Linked DNA regions of Canis lupus familiaris. The protein of the gene in region 3 binds, or shares a complex with, the protein of the main gene of each other region. Links are inferred from orthologs where the notes say so. Each region holds a gene or a part of one and is shown on either strand. Other genes may lie near its edges.

Region 1 (7,243 bases), on a different chromosome or scaffold from region 3:
TCGGGGGGAGGGGCACCTGGGATGCATTCAGGGACAGGGTGGCTGGGGAGACTTAAATGTGGGTATCAGGATTTGGGGGCTCCAGACCATCTTCTAGGCTGAGAAGGGGGGGCGGGAAGGGCAGGTCAGGGACAGGTGGGCAGAAGGCAGCTGACGCATGGAACAGCACATGGCCAAGGCCCTAATGGTACCCCAAACTCCATCTTCTGACTCCTAGTCCGTGCTTCTCCTGAGAGTGCTAAACTACAACACGTTCCAAGGAGTGTCCGGGTCAGGAGGTTCTAACTCCGTGTAGGAGGGCCAGCAGGAGAGGCAGCGCCTGACCGAGTACGGCGTGGCCCACTGGAGGAGATGGTCTCGCCCGAATTCTGAGAGCAAGGGGTGCTGTTGTCAGAGGACCAAATCCACCAGGATGATGGGTGACCCCAGGGGCTGGCAGAGAATGGCCAAGTGACCACGGCACTTGGGACCTAGTGCTTGAGGAGTGCAGGCCATACAGAGAGGGAGCTCAAAGGATGTCAGGTCAGGCTGGTTCAAGGCCACAGGCCTGCTCTGGCCTCTGAACAAAGGAGCCTCTGGAGGATCCTGGGCCTTTCCCTGAGTACAGCTGAGTGTGCCTTGAAGGCAGCTGGGACTCCAGGTGGCCTCTGACAGAGATGCCTGGCAGTGTGCCTCCAGCATGAGTGCGCAGTTCAGCCCCAGAGGAGCTCCAGACTTCCTCCCAAGCGCAAGCCTGGGGCTCTGGGAGCTGCTACGAGGGTGAAAATGGCATCGCAGGTCCTAGAAGATTGGGCCAAGCTCAGGGTTGACCCTCGGGTACAGATACCTGAGAATTAGCACAACCCAGGCTACTTGTTAAAATCAAATCATCTTGTATTAGATCCTGAAGCAAACCAGTCAGTTGGTTACTTGTGGTTGTCATTCGCCTCAGTTAAAAGCGGGACAACTCTGAGAGCAAGTATTAAAGAAATACAACACCCAGCTATAAATTAAGCATCCTCCCACTTGATCCTCTTCCTAGATTCATTCTGGTTTACGGTGGCTTTCTGGCACTGAAAGAGAAACCTCCTTCGCGACGCGCCCCCACCACTCAAAAGCACAGGAGCTCAGCCACAACCTTCCAGGGCTGCCAGAGATGGTCTGGTTTGAAGCCAAAGGCTCTGTGCCGCCGAGCCCTGTGGCCGGCCTGTAGTCTGTGGTTCTGCAGGGTTAGCTGAGGAGCAGCCTGGTTCCCAGAAGAGGGGCAGGTGGCCCCTGTGATGAAGACCTGAGTCCACCCTCCAGGCCGCTGGCTGACAGCCCACAGGGAGGACAGGGGCCACCTCCTGGCCCCTCCGGCGCTACTGTTGCTCAGGCCCGGCTGTCTTGGTGGTCACCAGCTCGGTGGAGCCCAGCTCTGTGGCTGGCACAGGGACGCTGTGGGCAGGCGGGGTGTTGGCTGGGTCTTCTCCGGCCGGAGGCCACACGGGAGCTGTCGCATCAAGGGGCCCCGGGGGGACGATGATGACATTGTCCAGGGTCTCTAGTTGGGGGAGGGGGCGCAGGGAAGGCAAGGTCAGGAAGGCTGACAGCTTTTCCCCACCCCTGTTCTGGAAGCCTCAGTGGAGGGACCGCCCCGACTGAGAAAAACCCCAAGCCCCGGCAGGGATGGGGACGGGCGGCCTGTGCTGGGCCCTCGGGACAGGAAGTGCAGATGGGAAGCGCCGGCGGAAGGGAGAAGCGGCCTCCTGTGTGGGGCTCCGGCGGCTCCGGGGCCAGGGCTGCGTCCCTCCCGGGGAACCGGCCCGAGCCGCTGCACCCCTCCCGAGCGCCCCGGCCCCGCCTCCCTGCCCCCCGCCCCGCAGAACTTACCGCGCGGGTGCGGGCGCGGGCGCGGGTCCGGGGCCCCCGGGGGAGCCGCCGCGCGCAGCCGCCGCCGCCACCTCCAGCCCAGCAGCCCCAGCAGCACGAGGGCCAGCGCCAGGCCCAGCAGCGCGGGGGCGCCGAAGAGCAGCGCGGGCAGCGGCAGCGCGGCCTCGGCCTCCGCGGCGGCCCCCGGGCCCACCGACTCCTGCGGCTGCAGCGCCGTCCCGGGCGCCAGGCTGCTGGGCCCGGCTGCTGGCGGGGCGGACGGGGAGGGGGCGCAGGGGGCGGAGGGGAGGGGCGGCCGGGAAGGGGGAGGGGCGGAGGGAGGCGAGGCTGGGCCCGGGGAGGGGGGCGGGGGAGGGGAGGGAGGGCCGGCGGGGGGCGGGGGAAGGGCAAGAGAGGGAGAGGTGAGGGCCACATGGTGACCGCCGGTCCCCACGAGGCCCCGCTTGCAGCCCCCCATCAAACCAGTCACCGCCCCCCGCCCCCGTCCCGGGTGGCCTGCGGCTCCCGCAGGTTGCGCGGTGGGGGCCCCCCCTCCTTCCCAGGGCTGCACCCCTGCTGACCAGCTGGCTGAGTGGGTCGGCTCTTACCCGGTCTGGGTTCTGGCGTCCGGAGCAGCTTGCAGGCCACGCAGTTTCGGACCAGAGGGTCAAAGCACTCGGCCTGGACGCAGCGCGTGGGGACCGGCCCGTCCCTGCCCCGCGCGCCCCTGCCCCGCGGGCCCCGCGCGCCTCTCCTGTCGCTGCCCATGCTGCCGTGCCCAGCGCTCGCTCGCGGGGGACTGAGCCTGGCTTCGGCTCCCAGAGGAGGAAACCGGGAGGGGCCGCCACCCACTGGGCCCCGCCCCACCCTCCTGCCTGCTGGGGTGGGACCACTCGCAAGGCCCCGCACCCCACACCTTCTCTTTCTACCTGTGGTTCCTCCATTCAACCACTCAACCATCACCTCCAGACGACTGCTGGGCTGGCCCTGTGCTGGGGCGCAGACCCCGCGCTCCTGGGCAGTAGAGGTTGGGCCCCTGCAGTCAGGACCTCTGGGTGGCCTCCTCTGTCCTGCTCCCCAAGGCCAGCCCACAGCCCCAGACAACCCCCACCAGCCGTGTCCTCCTCACCCCACCTGGTCCCCCTCTGGGGCTCCTTCCAGCCCTTCCCAGGCAGAGCAGGTTCGGTTCACAAGGCTTCCCGAGTGCCCAGGGTGCTGGGGAGACAGCGCCTCACGGCAGCAGTCATGGAGGGGGCTGGAAGGCTTCGGAAAGGACGGGATGGTGGGAAGGTGTCTGCCCAGCGAGATCTAGGGGAGCATGACTGACGGAAGAGGACAGAGATGGGGCCCAGAGACTGCTGGGCCCGGGGGCTGGGCTGGACTCGTGGCTGAGGGTTAAGGAGCCAGGGAACCACGCAGAGCTTTCAGCAGACGGCACCATAGTCAGACTTGGGTGACAGTGGGGAAGCTCTGGCTGGAGTAGAGGACACAGCGGGGGGAGGGAGACGGTGGCCGAGGGCCCGAGGACAGACAGCTCAGTTCCCAGATCCGAGGCAGGAGGGAGAGACTCCGATCAATAGATGAACAGACAGACCAAGACCCATGGGTCCCAGGGCTGTGTGTGTCCTGGCCTGCCTACCTCTGAGTCTCACTGGGGTCCCTTCTGTCTCTACTCTCTGGTGTTTGGCCTGTCACCCGTGTCTCTCAGATTGAGCCTCAGACACACACACAGGCCCCTCCTGCCTCCCTTGCCGTCTGCAGGGGCTGGCAGAGAGCTTCGGCGGGGATGGGGTCGGCCATCCCAGCTCAGGGCTGGGGAGCACAGAGGCAGGGGCTGCCTGGATGGGGCAGGAGCAGATTCAGCAGCTTCGAGGGGGGAGAGAACGCTTCCAGCAGAGAAGCTGGCGCTGGCGAGGGCAAAGGCAAAGAGGGGGAAGAGGGGGAAGCTGAGTCTGGAGACAGGCAAGGGGATGCTGCAGAGGAGGGGAGGCAGGGATGCTCTGGGCCTCCGCGTCAGGCTCCTGGGCCCTGGGGAGCCCCTACCAGAGCGCAGGGAGAGATGCTCTGAGCTGTGCTGCAGAAGCGACCCTGTCTCTGGCTGCTGTGGAGTTGGAGACAGGACTCCACGGTCCAGAGCAGGGGAACCATCTAGAAGCTGTTTAGGAGCAAAGAGTGATGCTGTGGTGCAAGGGGAGCAAGGCTGGCCCCGGGTTTCTGGCTCGAGGGACTCCAGCAGCCCCCTGGGTGGGCCGGCATCCAGGAGCCCTGGCCCACTGCCTCTCTGTCCTCTGCCCACGGCCCAACAACTCCAGGGCAGGAAGGTGTAGGCGTCAGGGCAGCTGCAAAGGAGAAGTGGGTCTGGGGTGGTGGGTGTGGGTGTGAGTGTGGGTGTGTGGTGAGGGGGTGGGGGGGCCGGGAGCCCAGAGAGGAGGGGGGGCCAAATCGCCACCCCCATCACTGGTGGTGCCAGTATTGCCTGGGAGCCCTTACACGGGGCCAGGCACCTCGTTAACCCTCACGCCGCCGTTGGGCCGAGCAGACTGAGTCTTGTGGGAATCTGGAGTGAGGATGGTGTCCCTGGGAGAGGGTGGCCCATGGGGCTGGTCTGGGGTCACTTACAGGAGCCACTTCTATGTGGCAGCTGCACCTGCTCCAGCACAAAGCGGGGGAGGCGGCCTTCAGGGGCCCAAGCCAGAGGGGCAGAGTGGTGATCTACCCGCGGCCTCCTAGGGCCCAGGAAGGCACGCGTCAGGGACAGGCCATGGCGAAAGGCGTGTGCGATTAGCGTCGGTGGTGTGTGCAGGTGCCTGACCCCGGACAAACCTTGTCACTTGTGACTCCTGAATGAGAAGCAGAGGGAGGCCTTGAATCCCGACTTCACAGTTAAAAAAAATTTCCCCAACAGACCAAGGTGATAAATGTTAGGTTAAATCCTCAGCAGATTCCTTATTTGGGGTTACATCTCTGAAGTCAAGATTATTATTTCTTTTTTTAAGATTTTATTTTAATATATATTTTGTTTATTTATTCATGAGAGACACACAGAGAGAGAGGCAGAGACACAGGCAGAGGGAAAAGCAGGCTCCATGCAGGGAGCCCGATGTGGGACTCGATCCCAGGTCTCTAGGATCAGGCCCTGGGCTGAAGGCGGCGCTAAACTGCTGAGCCACCCGGGCTGCCCAGATTTTATTTATTTATTCATGAGAGTCACAGAGAGAGGCAGAGACACGGGCAGAGGGGGAGAAGCAGGTTCCCTGTGGGGACCCCGATGTGAGACTCGATCCCAGGACTCCGGGATCACGAGTCTCATGCTCGCTCACTCAGGCACCCTATGATGTTACTTTTTTAAATAATCCCTACACCCTACGTGGGGCTTGAACTCACAACCCCGAGATCAAGAGTCTCACGCTCCACCGACTGAGCCAGGCCGGAACCTGATAGTTTTAAACACTTTGGTATCATCACCTCAAAGGTACTGAGTAGGAAAGAAGGGACTTTGCTGCTGAAACCCCATCTCACGGAGTGTCACTCGGTGTTCTCATGTTCTCGTTCACTGATGAAGTGTTTTACAAAGATAACTAATTTGGGGTCTTTCGGGGGAAAAGGAGTCTCTGATGATCTTTGTCCCTCAAATTCCCCCCAAAACACCCTCCCAATGGTCCGGACACGGGCGGCGCTATGATGTCGGGTTTCCAGATGGTGAGGCAGGGGCTCTGAGGGGCCAGGGATGACCCAGCTTCGGGGGAGCCAGGATAGGGCCTGTGCCCTTCATGCCTGGGGCTGGGGCTGGCGCCGGGGGCAAGGAGGAAGCTGCCGGTGGGATACGCTGGGTGCTAAGCGGGGGTGGGAAGGGTGGGGGGCATTCCCGGGGGAGACCGAGGCCCCGCTCCCCAGACCTAGATGTGAAAGTGCTCGGAGCGCCAGGACGCACTCCTTACGTGAACATCATTTTTAATTGTAATTCTGTAATACCTGCACACACTCTCATGAAAAAACCCTCAAACAATACAGAAGTCTATGAGTAAGGAGGGGCATTTCCCTGCTGTCCCCAGAGGGAGCCTGTTCTGGTTTTTTACTTTTTCATCCCATCCTGTTTCATGCCTTTAAATTGTCAGGCAAGTGCCTGGGGGGGAAACAGGTTCTGTGATTCATCAAAGGGGCCACACAGTGGGAGCTGCTCTGGGGACTTCCCTGCCCTCCTCTGCCCCGTAGCTCTCTCCTTCTATTTGGTTGTATTTTGTCTCAGGAGTGGTCAGGGGCCCCAGGGCAGGGACCCCTTTTTCATGTACTTGGCACTGGCAAATAGGACACTGCGAGGAAGCCCCTCTCACTGGGAGACAGCGGGAAGAATGTGGGGACAGGACCAGGGGCAGGAGAGGCAGAGGATCCACACGAAGTCCTGGTGAGGCTGGAGCGCCCCCAGACCCTCTCCCCTTGACCCCCTTCCATGAAGCGGTTATAAAACTCCTGTCCAGGTTTTCACAGGCCCAAGCTCCCTCATCGCCCCCACCATGTGCCCATACACACACACGTACACACATGCACGTGTGCACAGTTCAGCACGCCTCAGGGCAGGGCTCCCCAGCAGGTCTGAACACGGCCCCGGGATGGGGGACACAGGCCGTCTATGTGAGATCAGAATGGAGACCCCAGACCCGACCCTCAGCGTCTCAGCCACAGGGAACAGTCTGCACCTCCTGGGGGCTAGGCCGAAGGCTGGGGTGGGGGGCGGAAGAGCAGGGAGCCTCCCCAGGGGCTGCACCTCCCTCAGGCCCCGTTCAAGGCACCCCACAGCAGTGGGGACAAGGGCTGGGCTCTGGTCTCCCTGCAGGCTGCTGACGCACAGGCGGACCCAGAGCAGACTCCTCCATTCAGTCACCACTCACTCACGGAGACTTGCTGTGCACCAGGCACTGTTCTAGATTCCGGGGAGACGGCAGGGAAGGACAGAGACAAAATCCAAATGGGGAAACCATATAGTAGGTGAGGGTCTGAGAAGTGCTGGGGAGAAAAATTCAGGAGGGAAGGGTGTCAGGGAGGGCCCGAGGGTCAGGGAAGGCCTGGTGAGATCTTGGCACAGAGGGATGGAGGCGAGAGTGACCCCCCCAGGACCAAGGCCCAGGGAATGGCACAGTCATCCAGGAAACGGCAGTGCCCAGCACGGGCCGACCGCCTGCCTGGCCCTGTGCCCTGCAGGAGCCCACACCCCTCGCCTCAACCTGTGGGGAAATGGCACCGTGATTGCCTCTTCACAGAGAGGAAAGCAGGCTCAGAAGGATCGGGGACGAGCCAGGCGGCCCCTCAGTCCCTGAGCTCTTCCCCCACTGCTACCACCACACACACATCTCTGGAGTAACCCCCCTGGTCAGCAGGCGGGGAGGCAGATCCAGGCCTCAAGGAGCCTGCGGCCTAA
Region 2 (7,147 bases), on a different chromosome or scaffold from region 3:
CTGGGGCTTGATCAAGTCCCAGAATCGAGTCCCATGTTGGGCTCCCTGCATGGAGCCTGCTTCTCTCTCTCTGCCTGTGTCTCTGCCTCTCTCTCTCTCTCTCTGTGTCTCTCATCAATAAATAAATAAAATTAAAAAACCCCCAAAAACCAAAAAACAAAACCAGAGACAGAGAAGAGATTATTTGGGAGATGGTTTGGAAGGAAGAGGTGCATGAAGTCCGGAGGTGCTGCAGCTCTCTTGTGACCAGGAAGGGGAGGACCCAAGAGTAGAAGATGAGATCAAGACCTGAGTTGAGACCAAGAGTTGGATGCTTAACCCACTGAGCCACCCAGGTGTCCTTACTTACTATTTTATTTATCAACACAGCAGAACAGATTACATACTTGCTCAGTAACTTGCATTTTCCACTCAGTTATGTATGGTTCACATCAGAACACATCTGGCACATTCTTTTTGATGGCGGTGTAGTATTCCACCGCGAGGCCCCATTGATGGACAGGCTTTTGTGAATACAAATGATGTAGCAGCAAACATCCTTGGGCACCTGACATCAGGCACCTGAGCAAGCTCATCTGTCAGAAGCAATTGTGCTTCCTTTCCTAAGAGTTGTCAAAGCTCTGTTCTTCTAGTTTCTACCCGTCTTCCCAAGCATGGCCCACATTGCCTGCTTCTCTTTCTCTCGACTCCATAAGTACTTACAGTATGGCTTCTTCCCACAAACATACCTAAAGGGCACTGGTGACCTCCTTCCTTAGGGCATCGCCTCTGACTTTTCTGTAGAATTTGACCTCACTGCCCATCCCATCCTGAAACTCTCCTCGCTTGGTTATCTTTGTCTTCCCATTTCTCTAAGCACGCTTTTCCTATGACCTTTGGCAGCCTCAATGTCTGGCAAGAGCTCGTGGGAGTGGAAGCTGCTGGGGCAGCCCTTGGGCTGTACCCACTGACCTCAGTGCCTGGACCCCAGAGGAATGGGAGGTTTTGATCAATATCTGAATCCACACTCTCTCTTAGGCTCAAACCCTTCACTTAAAAACCAAAAAAGTGTTGTATTTAACTCCCGCATTTTATGTTATTATCATCACTATTTTAATATTTATTATATACCATTTAAAAACTATGAAAAGGTGTAGGGACACCTGGGTGGCTCAGTCGATTTAACATCTGACTCTTGATATTGGTTCAGGTCTCTATCTCAGGGTTGTGAGTTTAAGCTCTCTGTTGGGCTCCAGGCTGGGTGCAGGGCCTACTAAAAAAAAGGTGTTGGGTGCCTGGGTGGCTTACTGGTTGAGCATCTACCTTTGGCTCAGGTCGTGTGATCCCGGGGTCCTGGGTTCAAGTCCGCACCATGCTCCCCTCAGGAAGCCTGCTTCTCCCTCTGCCAGTGTCTCTGCCTCTCCCTTTATTTTTTAAATAAAATCTTTTTAAAAAGTGTCAATAATAACAAAGAATACAACAAAAGAATAACACAACAAATACCAATGTATCCACCATTTGGCTTCATAAAATATGACCAACACAACTGGAGGCTCTTTTGTACCCTCCCTGCACCTCAGAGATATCCAGAGATAATCACTGTACTGAATGCGGAGTTTGTCATTCTCTCACATTTTAACTGAGTCCTGAATTTCTGGCTGACCTCTCTGGATATCTCTCTATGGGGATCCCATTCAGTATGGTGAAAAGCAAATGCAAGTGATTCCATTTATATAAAAAGGAAAATGTGCTCTATACATCTACCTATCATCTATCCTTAGAAATCCTTCCAGAAATATCTATATTGGGGTTGACCAAACAGAACACGGCAGCAGGCCTTTCTTCACACTTCTGTGATACATCCAAATATAGTTTACCTATCTGCTCATTTGTGTTTTCTAAATTTTAAAAAAGATTTTATTTATTTATTTATTCATGAGAGACACACACAGAGGCAGAGACACAGGCAGAGGGAGAAGCAGGCTCCCTGTGGGAAGCCTGATGTAGGACTCAAACCTAGGACCCCGGGATCATGCCCTGAGCCAAATGCAGACGCTCATCTACTGAGCCACCCAGGTGTCCGCCCTTGTTTCTAAATTTTCAACAGTGGAGCATGGATGACTTGACTATGAATGCCCCAAACCTATCTTCCCTGAAACCCTCTTACTAACTGAGCTTTAACCCCAGAAGTCCTTATTTCTGTTGGAATTCCATAGTTCTTCATAGGTGTGAAACCTGGCAGGCATGCTTGATGCCCCTTTCTCTCTTTCTCATTCCTTCAGTGGTTGAGTGGATTTCTATTGCCCCCGTTAGATTTTAAGTTCTTAAGGGGGTTCAGACCTTATGTGTCTCTCTGGGGGCCTATCACACTGCACAGCTCGTGAACAGATGGTCCCAAAGCGGTTATCGAACCTTCCTGCCTGAGGCTTCGGGCTAGTCTACACCTTGCAACTGTCACCTGGATTATTTATAGAAATTTCCTCTATAAATAGACAGTTTCTGTTTCAGGTATGGTTTGCTCTTGATATTTACGCTTTGATCTCTTACCCTCCCCGGGCCTCAAACTTAGAAACCGGAATTGGAGCTGGTATTCAAATCCTTAGTCGAAGTACAAAGAGCGCCCAGAAGAACTAAATCATAGTTGTGAAGTTCTTTTTCTTTTTTTTTTTTTTCGCATCGACATTCTAACTGCTGTCACTACATTTGCTGGGGAATTCCTGACGAGATTTTACTTGTCCTTCCATGCTGTTCTTTCTGGGGCTTTCTTGTTTTTCTTTGTGATCAAGTTCCAGATGGCTCAGCAGTGCTTCCAAAATGAATATTTTGACAGATTGCTTAATGCTTGCAAACCATGTCACCTTCGATGCTCTAATACCCCTCCGGTACCATGTCAGCATTATTGTAATGCAAGTAAGTAATCCTGCTTGAACAACTCATTCGTTGGTGTAACCTATTTTCTCTACTTTGACTACTTATTCAAAGAGTAAAAACATTGCGGGGAAGATGGTGAGGTCTTCTGTATCAAAAAGAGAAAGGAAACAAGGCAAGTATTTGAATGCCAATGGGACCAAAGTAATTACTCAGAATTGAGCTCAATTTGATGCAGTGCTGTTAGCAACATGGATTTTTATCAACTCTTCTAATTAAGTGTTATTTAGGATTTACGAGTCAGTGCTGATGAATTAGGGGAATTGGATGGCAAATAATCTTTACTTGATGTGGATATTATGTTGTCAGTTCATTATCTCTCTGATATTCTTTTAATTCAGTGAAAGGAACAAATGCAATTCTCTGGACCTGTTTGGGCCTGAGCTTGATAGTTTCTTTGACCATTTTCGTGTTTATGTTCTTGCTAAGGAAGATGAATTCTGAACCATCAAAGGACGAATGTAAAAACACAGGTTGGTTGAATGGTCAGACTTTGGAATCTATTTCCAAGAGGTGGCTATTGTGATTTGAGTTCCTTCTCTTCTTTTTTCCTGTTGAGTTATTTCTTTGGTTAGAGCCCTTTCGAGCGTGTTAGAGGACGGTTGTATTAAATGAACTTTGGGGCAGGAGCGAGCTGTCTTCTTTTTGGTGTTTGTCTCTTCTTTATAGGTGCCCCACAGAGTTAGCCTTCCCCTATAGTTTTCCCTCAGTAATTACTCTTCTGAGGTACTGGGCTTCCTTGGCAAACATCCATCTCTTTGACCAAAGTTAGCACATTGATTAAACGTTTACTTACTCTCAAGAAACTGCAAGCTCGGTCTGCTACTATCAGGAAAAATGTATTTGGCAAGATCCATGGCCTTATTTTTAATACAAATGTAAACATTTTTTGCTTGGTGAATATTTTACTGCCCCCAAAATGCTAGAAATGAATAGAACCAGTTGTTCCTGGATTATTTGAGCAGTCATTTTAAAGATCATTATCTTTATTAAGCAGCAGAGAACCAGTCTGAGAGAAGTGAATGTTCTACTTAAGGGCTTTTTAAGATAAAAATATTTCAGCAGCACCTTTGCCCATGATCTGATTTCCCAAATGCTTTGCAGCCTTTGGCCTATTTCTGATGCATTTATTTTCCATGTATAATCTGTAAAGCACCCCCCTCATTTGTCTTCTCATTTGCAGAAAAGGGAGGTAGATGGCTGTTCCACATAATTTACTCATTTTTCTTTTCTCATTTTCTTTCTTTCTTTCTTTCTTTCTTTCTTTCTTTCTTTCTTTCTTTCTTTCTTTCTTTCTTTCTTTCTTTCTTTCTTTTTCTTTTTTTTCTTCTCTTTATTTTTGCCTGGGGTCTGAGAAACAGGTGGGGAATGACTTTAAGTGTGACATTTTGGAAGATGGAGTTATTCTGTGGCAGGTTGGGGAAGTAGTAAAACTTACCTTCACTGACATATAAATGGGGACATAACAGAGACTCCTTCCATACATGATCACAAAAAAATTCATTCTAAAATTTCTTTAAAAAAGATTTTACTTATTTATTAGAGACATAGACACACACACACACACACACACACACACACACACGCAGAGGGAGAAGCAGGCCCCATGCAGGGAGCCCCATGCTGGACTTGATCCCAGGTCCCCAGGATCACACCCTGGGCTGAAGGCAGCGCTAAACTGCTGAGCCGTGGGGGCTGCCCAATATAAAAAATTTTTGATATGATACCAAATGGTCTGTAAGAGAAGTATCCTTACTTTGAATTCTAAAGTGTCCCCCAAAGGCTCATTTTGTGTGTAACATACGGTAATCTGTCATTTCCACAAGTGTAAAATAGAGCCCATAACTTAATGCCTTCAAGGGCCAAGTGGGTAACCAGTGAATGTAGCGGGCCATGTGGAGGTTTCAACAGTTGAATAGCCAGGGCCCTTCCTCAAGGAGACAGCGGCTATTGACTTCAGGCAATTGTTTCCATGGAGGAAGGTTAGCTATTTGTTGTTTTTTTGAAAGAGACCAATTACCTAGATTTGCACATCAAATCCCTTGAAGGCTTTTTTTTTTTAATCTCTTGATTTTTATTTTTTTTAAAGATTTATTTATTTATTTATTCATTCATTCATTCATTCATTCATTCATTCATGATAGACAGAGAGAGAGAGAGAGAGAGAGAGAGAGAGGCAGAGGGAGAAGCAGGCTCCATGCGGGGAACCGATGCGGGACTCGATCCTTGGACTCCAGGATCGTGCCCCAGGCCAAAGGCAGGCGCTAAACCCCTGAACCACCCAGGGATCCCTAAATCTCTTGATTTTTAAACGTGGACCAACAGGGGGCACCTGGGTGGCTCAGTGTTTGAGGATCTGCCTTTGGCTCAGGTTGTGATCTCTGGGTCCTGGGATCCAGTCCCGCATTGGGCTCCCTGTAGGGAGGGAGCCTGCTTCTTCCTCTGCCTGTATCTCTGCCTCCCTCCTTGTGTCTCTCATGAATAAATAAATAAAATCTTAATAAATAAATAATAAGGGATCCCTGGGTGGCTCAGAGGTTTAGTGCCTGCCTTCGGTCCAGGGCGTGATCCTAGAGTCCCGGGATCGAGTCCTACGTCGGGCTCCCGGCATGAAGCGTGCTCCTCTGTCTGCCTCTGTCTCTGCTTCTCTCTCTCTCTGTGTCTCTCATGAATAAATAAATAAAATCTTTAAAATAAATAAATAATAAATAAATAAATAAACAAACAAACGGAGGCCAACACAGCATATAAGCAAACACTTAAAAACACTGTATGGGCCTAAACAAAGTCCAATGTGGCCTATGGTCAGTTCCTGACTCCCAGTGCAGGACATTTGTTTTGTAGGAGATCTGTCTCCATTGCTTTGGGCCCTAAGGTGTCCTGCTAAGACTGCCAGGACGGCACCACCTGGGAAGTTGAGGTTGATCGTTCTGTTTCTACACAATCAGGATCGGCTCACCAGAACGAGGCGGATGCTGACCAGGAGAAGGGCCGTGATAGCAGGACCAGCGAGGAAGTTCTCTCGAGGGGCCTGGAGTACACAGTAGAAGAATGTACCTGTGAAGACTGTGTCAAGAGCAAATCAAAGGTGGATTCTGACCATTTCTTTCCACTCCCAGCTATGGAGGAAGGTGCAACCATTCTTGTCACCACGAAAACAAGTGACTACTGTAATAGCCTGCTGGCCAGTGTCACAGAGATGGAGAAATCCATTTTTACCAGATGATTAACCATTTCAACTGGTCAGAGCTGCTTTGAGAATCTTAACGTCAGAAGGAGTAATCTCTTTAGGATGATTGTACTTATCAGTTGCGGATAGAGCTTTTTGTCCTGATTCTAGAAAATCTTTATGTTAGATGTACTTCCCTACCTTATTGTTGGGAGCTTACCTGTGGAAATTTCCTTGGTTTCATGATTAAATTCTTGACTTACTGAAACAAAGCACTGCAGTGTGTAGATCCCATAGTCCCACATTTCTGTGGCTAGCCCCTTTCTCTCCTATACACACATACATGCATACGTTTCAGGCCAGATTTGATTATTATTATTATTGTTTTTAAAGATTTTATTTATTTATCCATGAGAGACACAGCGAGAAAGACAGAGACATAGGCAGAGGGAGAAGCAGGCTCCCTTTAGGAAGCCCGATGCGGGACTCCATCCCAGGACCCCAGGATCATGCCCTGGGCCAAAGGCAGACGCTCAACCGCTGAGCCACCCAGGCATCCCTGATTTTTATTATTAAAGAAAAGCAAGGTTATCTATGTATTCCTGGAGACAGAAGAAGCCTAGAGTTAGCCACACTAATTTAGTGTGCAGTGCATGAGTGCAAGGCTCAATCACTTGTGAGCTTTCAGCTTAATGGAGACATCAGGCATTATTACAATCCCATAAATAAATGTGTAACTGCAAACTGTGATAAAGGTATAGCAGGTATCATTTTAAGACCCCAATGCAGGTAGTAATAATGATAGCTAAAACCTAGCCTTCCTAGGGCCCCCTGGGTGGCTCAGTTGGTTAAGCGTTGGACTCTTGATTTCAGCTCAGGTCATGATCTCATGGGTCGTGGGATCAAGCCCTGTGACTCAGGCTCTGTGTTCAGGAGGGAGTCTACCTGAGATTCTCTACCTCTCTCTCCCTCTGTCCCCTCTCCCTCCACCTCTCACGTTCTTTCTCTAATAAATAAATCTTAAAAAAAAAACCCAACAAAAAACTTAGCCTTACTTATGTGCCAGGATTG
Region 3 (7,181 bases):
TGTTTAACAGAATTTCAGTTAAATTATTGTCAAGACATTTCCTCAGCAGGAAACAGATCCTTGATTTATGGAGTAGTAACTTCCTTTTGTTCCTCTAATAAGAAATTCAGGAGCACATGAATGCTGCTTGGTTTCCACTTGTCTTCAGAGAAATTTGGTCGTGTGATCACTGTGAAGGATGTGCACATGGCAGTAGCCGTGAGCCTCACATCTGGGTCAGGGGAAGCCACCGGCCTGCCGCCTTCTGTGGAAGAAGCACCAGCCCTCTCTATGCTTAGGGCTGCCCACCACTTGATCCAAGATGAGACACTTGTTTTAAACTGACCTACACATAGGCTGGTCAGTGGTACTCTCTGAAGACAGTCGGCCATGAAGGTGTCTATCCAAAAGAGCAATGAAGGCAGAACTAATTCTCTAACGCAATCGAACTATTCCCCCTCTCTGCAATTTTTACAGCAGCATATGGACAAGAGTGTCCCACCAAAAGTGGAAGAAAGTCAACTCACAGAAAGAAGCGGTGGCTACAAGTGTCCTGAGTAAAAGCACAGAGCGATGAATTTCTAGCACTGCCTCAAATTCTTTTATTCCATATGTCTTTGGGTAATATTAACACACACACATAAACCTGAGTGAGCTTCCCTTACTTTCAGTCAGAAGGGTTTAGTATAATCCCCAAACTGATTCTTTCTTTTCTTTCCTTTTCTTTTCTTCTTTCTTTCTTTCTTTCTTTCTTTCTTTCTTTCTTTCTTTCTTTCTTTCTTTCTTTCTTTCTTCTTTCTTTCTTTCTTTCTCTTTCTTTTCCTTTTCTTTTCTTTTCTTTTCTTTTCTTTTCTTTTCTTTTCTTTTCTTTTCTTTTCTTTTCTTTCTTTTCTTTTTTTCTTTTTCTCTAGTGTATGTCCCCCTGATTGGCCTGGAAGCAAGAACTATGACAGAAGACGTGTATTACGTGACATCTGACACAAAGGAGTCTGCTCACGCACTCACCTGAGAGATCGGAGAACAGCTGCTTTGGGCGGCCAAGGTAATCTTCAAAAGAACTTTTTAGAGGTGTTATTTTTTTTTTCCAAGTTCTGTAAAAGTCATTTAACAAGGTCTTAGAACTCACAGACATAAAGGAACCTAGCAGGTAAAAATGAGTGTCTGGTGACGTCACCCCTCGTGAGCCGGGGAGGAAGCAGGAACTCCTCAGGGAGGCTGCTCTGTGACTCCTGACAGAGGTGAAGATGTGCTGACACCCTAGCAGGTGTCTCCCGGGGAAATCCCTGCAGACATTCCAAGGAGACCCGCACGAAGACGTCTGTGATGGTGCCATTTGTAATAAAGAAAAATAGTTCATGTCATGAGTGAAAATGGATGAGAAATGGAAGCATATTAAATCTAGTTTGTCCTGGTTCCTATAAGCCCTGTTACAGTTCCCAAGGACCCTTACCATCCCATTTCACAGACAGAAAACCGAATCCCAGACACACCATGTGTTTTGACCAAGGAGAGTGAGGATTCACACCCTGGCTCTGGAGCTCCTACCCTCACTTACGTTATTTCTGTGACTTTCCTTTTGAAGCTGGCATAGGGACATCATGTGAGACAGAGCTAGCGCTCCAGTCGTGGCACATGGAGGACTCAGGCCCAGCCAGGCCTTGGCAATTGCTCAGTAGCATTTGTTGAAGTGTGAGCTCCTGACACAACATGCAGGTCCTAGGAGCCGAGCAGCCAGACCCCAGGAAGTACTCAGGAGCTAGCCATCAAGACGTGTCTTGGCGGCAAGACCACATCCAGCAGCCATGATTTGGAGCTACCATGACTCTGGGCTGAATCAGGTTGTTCACAGACACAGTAGATTGGGGCAGGGTCAACCTAATAAGGACCAGTAGATTAGCTGCTTTAGGGAAAGAGCACTTAGTTCATGGTGGGCTGGACTGAGGCACTTGGAGCTGGAGATAAGGCCAGTTTTCCCAGATGCTGTCGGCCTGAGCGGACACTTGGAGCTTAGTGGGAGTGCTTCCCAGCTTGGCCGTCCTGTGCGTGGCTGCCTGCCGGGCAGTGAGTCCCAGAAGGAACGCAGTACACATGTTTCCCTTCAAAATGCATCCCCTGCATATAAAGAAGCCCTCATGTGTAATCTAACTACATCCCCCAAATTTAGTCACATTCTTTTTATCTCATTGCTAAGATAATAATAAAAAGAATATTCCCCAGTGGATGTCTGTGCCTCCCCTGAGGAAATCTCGTTTTATTTCCTACTCTGAAACTGTTCATAAATCATTCTCCAGCTGAGTACAGTTCAGTGCTAGTACTTAGCTTATCTGACCTTCGCATTAATTATTTTTATTACAGCAGCAGGAACGTCAGTGTGTTTTCCCCTGCCCTCCGAAGCCATGTGGCCCCGAGCAGAGTGGCTCCCGTCCTGCCACCGGCGGCTCCTCCGGTACCTGTCCAGCTGTCCCAAGTGTACCAGCTCAAACCCCATGTCCTGTCATACCAATGGATGCCCGAGGCCCGTTTGTGTGTGTGTGTGTGTGTGTCTTAGATGCGATTAAAATTCTTACAAAAACTGAAAGTGAAATGAGGAAATGATTGGGCAATCGAATAGAAGGGCCAGTGCCAGGAAGACCTATCATACCGGGGGGGCCCCGCGATGCGGCCAGGCAGACGGAGGGAAGCTCAGGAGAGCTCTCCTGAGGGCGACCACGGGGCCAGGCCATGTAGTCCGTGTAGGACATGAGCAAGCACAGCTCACAGGAAATGATCCGGTCCCTGCGCTCACTTACTCGAAAGGTCCAAACCTTCAAAGTTGCGGGAGTGCCATGGATGGCTGCACAGAAGGCCAGCAGTCACGCCTTTCTCCTTGCCTTGAGAGGGGAGAAGAAATGAAACTGAAGGAGTGTGTCTCCATCCTCCCCCTGAAGGAAAGCCCCTCTGTCCCATGCTCCAAAGATGGAACGCTGCTGGCCGTGACCCTGCTACTGGCCCTGACGGCCTGCTGCCTCTCCGTGGTGTCTTTCCACAGGGCGGCTGCCTTGCAAGCGGAGCTGGGGAGCCTCCGGGCGGAGCTGCGGGAACAGCACGCTGAGCCTGAGCGGCTGCCAGGCCCTCCGCAGGCCAGAGCCAGGGCCCCCAGGGCAGCCATGCGGGAGACCCCAGCTGTCACCTCAGCTCTGAACGTGAGTTTGCAGCAGCTGCGGCCCCAGGTTTGCCCCGCACCACTGCCCCCCACACCTCAGATATCTTTGCAATAACTTGGGGTTTTTCTCTCCTTAGGGAATCTTGGCACCATCCGCTGCAGGAGAAGGCAACTCCAGCCAAAGCAGCAGAAACAAGCGTGCCATTCAGGGGCCGGAAGAAACAGGTAAGTTTTGGGTGCAGAAGCATTTGGGAGCCAGGGAGCCTGGCATCCACAGGTGTGGAGGCTGGCCTCTGCTTTGAGGTCCCGAGAGTTGATTGATCAGTACTCAAAGACTGTGAGAGGTGCATTTACACCAGATGTGGCTTTAGGGCACAGCCTGTGCATTGGCACATTGATGAGCCTGCACGCCACGTTTTGTCCTCCAATGAGCATAGTGAGGGCCCTGCTGTCCTGGCAGCATAAAGGATGAGAAAGAGCCCAGAGTCTTCCTCCAATAGATCGTGCCTGTGTTGGAAACAGTGTCCATCACTCCAGCAGGAAAGCGCTTCAGGTCAGTATAGGTTCTGTCTACCTGAGTCATGGACAGTCAGGTAAAGGTAAACACTTCCTGAGGGCACCTTGTGTGCCATGCAGCCCAGTGAAGCTCCTGTTGGGAGCAGGTGTGTGTTTGTGATTTGTTTATTGCTGTAGTTCTAAAAAAGTTCATTTTACACACACACACATGCACACACGCACGCATGCATGCGTATACACACAGATTTTAAAGCTTTTCTTTAATGCTTTTCCAGGAACTTTTCCAGGAAGAGTTCTTTCATGATTGCTGCCTTTCTTTCTGTCCCACTTATTCCACAGTCTTAGAGATTCCAGAAACCTTGGATTGGGCAGAGCTTCCCCAAATGTTTGATTCTAGTTCCTGCATTTCAACGATGAAAAAGAGCATTACATTCATTCAATAATATCACAACTTAAACAATCCCTGGTATCATTCCTTTTCTTTTCTTTTCTTTTCTTTTCTTTTCTTTTCTTTTCTTTTCTTTTCTTTCTTTTCTTTTCTTTTCTTTCTTTTTTTTTCTTTTCTTTTCTTTTCTTTTCTTTTCTTCTTTCTCTTTCCTTTTTTTGAAAGAACACGTTTTGAGCAAACAGCATGGGCCTGCTTGGCGCATGCTGGGATAGTTATTGTCACGGCTACCATTTCCTTAAGTCCTCACGTTGGCCTTGAGGTGAGCAGAACAGGTGTAGTTCTGTACATATGTATTTGTACTTGTGGAGGGAAGCACATGACTTAGAGACTAGGTGTTCTTCCGTCAGACCACACACACACACTCACACACATTAGGTGCTTTGGCTGGAAATGTATTCACTAACTGCCTTATTCATGGAAAGAAAATTCTTACCTCTTCCTTAAAACCATAATTTTCTACATATGCTTTGTGTCAAGTATCAGAAACAGTTGGGTTTAAATATATATAAACTAGGAAATGTGAGTACTTTTACTATACTTTAACACATGAATTATTTTCATACTTTGCAATTTTATCATATGTATTTCCTACCTAACTGAAAAAATACAGCATATATACTATGGATTTATTTTTGTGTTCACTTATCATTATGCAATAAGCATTTTCCCTACTACTAAGTTATTCTCACACATCCATGTTAGTTTCCTGTCACACAGTTATTTAACATGACCATTTCCAAAACTTTTGTGCAGATTTCTTTTTTCTTTTTTCTTTTTTTTTTTTTTTAAGATTTTACTTATTTATTCATGAGAGACACACACACAGAGAGAGAGAGAGAGGCAGAGACACAGTCAGAGGGAGAAGCAGGCTCCACGTGGGACTCGATCCTGGAACTCCAGGATCACATCCTGGGCCGAAGGCGGCGCTAAACCGCTGCACCACCTGGGCCACCCTCTTATTTCTGATGAATTACATGTTCCAAAGAAAGAATATCAGAAATAAAGAGGATAAACATCTTTATCACCCTTACTCCCTTTTGCCATGTTGCTTCCAAAATGAATTATAAATGTATTGTAGTCAGAAATGCACTGTACAAGTTCTCCACATTCTTAGTGTTTTATCTTTTAAAATTTATGTTGGCTAGCTTGGTAGTTGTAAACAGTATCTCAAATGTAATTTGTTATTTGCTTACAAATAAGAATTTCTGCGTATTTACATAACTTCTAATTTTATCTTCTGCTAATTTTTATTTATAACTTCCCTCATTTGTCCTAATTCTTTGTGATTTGAATGAACTATATTAAACATTCTGTTTATCAAAATTTTGCTGTAAATATCTTCCCAATATCTTGCTTATTTAAAATGTGTACAGAGATTTTACATCTGTGTATGTAATATGATAAACTTTTCCTTCTGATCTCTGTCATACGTTAAAGCTAAAAATGTATTTCTTCATAATTTCTTACATAGCCTATTCTATTCTCTACCACTTTGACTTGTTTACAACTTTGTGTTTTAGTTTGCTGTTATTTAACTCCTTAATCCTCCTGGCATTCATTTGGTAGATCATGTCTACTAGCTTTAACTTACCCTTTCTTCTTTAATTTTTTTCCTTCTAAATTATTCCTAATATCTCAACTAAATTTATTAGATGATTCTTTTTAACTTGTTTGCATTGGAAAGCTTACTGTGTTGTATTAAGTTTCTCACATATAGTTGAATCTATTTTGAGACATTTTCATTGATTTATTATTCTTTTTATCTGTATTAAATAAAATATGTTAAGTATTTTGTAATATAATGAGCTTTAATATCTCATAGAGTCAGAATGTTTCAATCTTCTTCAACCTCCGTGCTAGTATCCTCCAGTCTCTGCACATTAGGTTTATGAATAATCCTTAACTTTACCATTGCAAAAGAGCTGCAAAGGGCTCATTATAGCAGGTTTAAGAAGAAACGACATTGAATAAGAAATTAATTAACTCCCAGAGTCCCACTTCCATAAATACCCTCTATTATATTTAAATTTTCCTCCTATGTGCAAAATTTTACAAATTTGTGATTCTATGGCATCCAAAAATCATATACTGATTAAAAATTTTCTCTAAATAAATTTGTAATTTTTAGAAAGTTTGGAAAGTAACAAAAAATTGTATCAAGTGAATAAAAATTTACCCAGTTTCCACAGCCCAGATATAACTGCTATTTTCATAATCATAATTTGCCTGAGATTTTCATAGACCTTTTATATAGTATATATATAGTATATATATAGACCTTTTATATAGTATATATGTATGTATATATACATTATATATATATATTAGTATAGGTATATATAGTATGTATATAAATATATCAAATATGTATAGATAACATATATATGCAATAAATAGTACCCCCCATATATATACACACTAACACTCATAACGTCCATAGATCTGAGAGGAGATCTCCTCTCCTTGAAGAGGAGGACCTCAGTTACAGGTCATATCTGCTATTCCTCATTGGTGAAACTGGCTTGAATGTCATTTTAGATGCCATCCTTCTGTGCAGGGAAAATGTAATTTGCTTAGTACTACAAGAGTAATGTGTATGTAACCAAGAGGGTTGTCTGGAACTCCTTGACTCCTTTCTTTCTTTCTTTCTTTCTTTCTTTCTTTCTTTCTTTCTTTCTTTCTTTCTTTCTTTCTCTGTTTGGTAATGTCCTTTCTTTGGAGTTGAGAAAATTCTGTATAATTTGAATCTATGCAACTTTCTTTGTTTTTGTTTGTTTCTATTCTAGTTCTGATTTTTTTTTAAGATATTTGTTTATTTATTTGAGAGAGAGAGAGACTATGAGCTGAAGGCAGTGGCAGAGGCAGAGGGAAAGGCAGATACCCCACTGAGCAGGAAGCCAGATGTGGAGCTCAATCCCAGGACCCCGAGGTCATGACCTGAGTCAAAACCACAAGTTGGACACTTAACCGACTGAGCCACCCAGGCACCCCTTGTCCTGATTTTATTAAGTAAGCCTCAAAAACTTTAGGTTGTCCCTGTTACTTTCAAACTGTCCATTCTTGTTCTTATTTATTCATTTTCTATATGCATTATAG

What was found.
Region 1: the proteins of TNFSF13B (region 3) and TNFRSF13C are in contact, whole or in part, in a crystal structure (PDB 1OQE), measured with the Homo sapiens proteins. The link is inferred for Canis lupus familiaris from reciprocal best matches to the Homo sapiens genes TNFSF13B and TNFRSF13C. Residues at the interface, in NP_006564.1 of Homo sapiens: Ser162, Tyr163, Asp203, Thr205, Tyr206, Ala207, Met208, Gly209, His210, Leu211, Thr228, Arg231, Cys232, Ile233, Pro264, Arg265, Glu266, Asn267, Ala268; in NP_443177.1 of Homo sapiens: Asp26, Leu27, Leu28, Val29, Arg30, Val33, Leu37, Leu38, Arg39, Pro41, Arg42.
Region 2: the proteins of TNFSF13B (region 3) and TNFRSF17 are in contact, whole or in part, in a crystal structure (PDB 1OQD), measured with the Homo sapiens proteins. The link is inferred for Canis lupus familiaris from reciprocal best matches to the Homo sapiens genes TNFSF13B and TNFRSF17. Residues at the interface, in NP_006564.1 of Homo sapiens: Ser162, Tyr163, Lys204, Thr205, Tyr206, Ala207, Met208, Gly209, His210, Arg231, Cys232, Ile233, Glu238, Pro264, Arg265, Glu266, Asn267; in NP_001183.2 of Homo sapiens: Tyr13, Asp15, Ser16, Leu17, Leu18, His19, Ile22, Arg27, Ser29, Ser30, Asn31, Thr32, Pro33, Pro34, Leu35.

Annotation. Positions count from the first base shown.
Region 1 is NC_049231.1:24,385,946-24,393,188, reverse strand, and holds TNFRSF13C (tumor necrosis factor receptor superfamily member 13C), read right to left. Parts: upstream 4,865-7,243; 5' UTR 2,791-4,864; coding exon 2,439-2,790; intron 2,098-2,438; coding exon 1,852-2,097; intron 1,523-1,851; coding exon 1,341-1,522; 3' UTR 850-1,340; downstream 1-849. UniProt on the Homo sapiens protein: B-cell receptor specific for TNFSF13B/TALL1/BAFF/BLyS. Promotes the survival of mature B-cells and the B-cell response.
Region 2 is NC_049227.1:31,131,390-31,138,536, reverse strand, and holds TNFRSF17 (tumor necrosis factor receptor superfamily member 17), read left to right. Parts: upstream 1-2,537; 5' UTR 2,538-2,771; coding exon 2,772-2,889; intron 2,890-3,248; coding exon 3,249-3,380; intron 3,381-5,855; coding exon 5,856-6,133; 3' UTR 6,134-6,348; downstream 6,349-7,147. UniProt on the Homo sapiens protein: Receptor for TNFSF13B/BLyS/BAFF and TNFSF13/APRIL. Promotes B-cell survival and plays a role in the regulation of humoral immunity. Activates NF-kappa-B and JNK.
Region 3 is NC_049243.1:57,181,447-57,188,627, forward strand, and holds the start of TNFSF13B (tumor necrosis factor ligand superfamily member 13B), read left to right. Parts: upstream 1-2,573; 5' UTR 2,574-2,804; coding exon 2,805-3,161; intron 3,162-3,258; coding exon 3,259-3,346; intron 3,347-7,181. UniProt on the Homo sapiens protein: Cytokine that binds to TNFRSF13B/TACI and TNFRSF17/BCMA. TNFSF13/APRIL binds to the same 2 receptors. Together, they form a 2 ligands -2 receptors pathway involved in the stimulation of B- and T-cell function and the regulation of humoral immunity.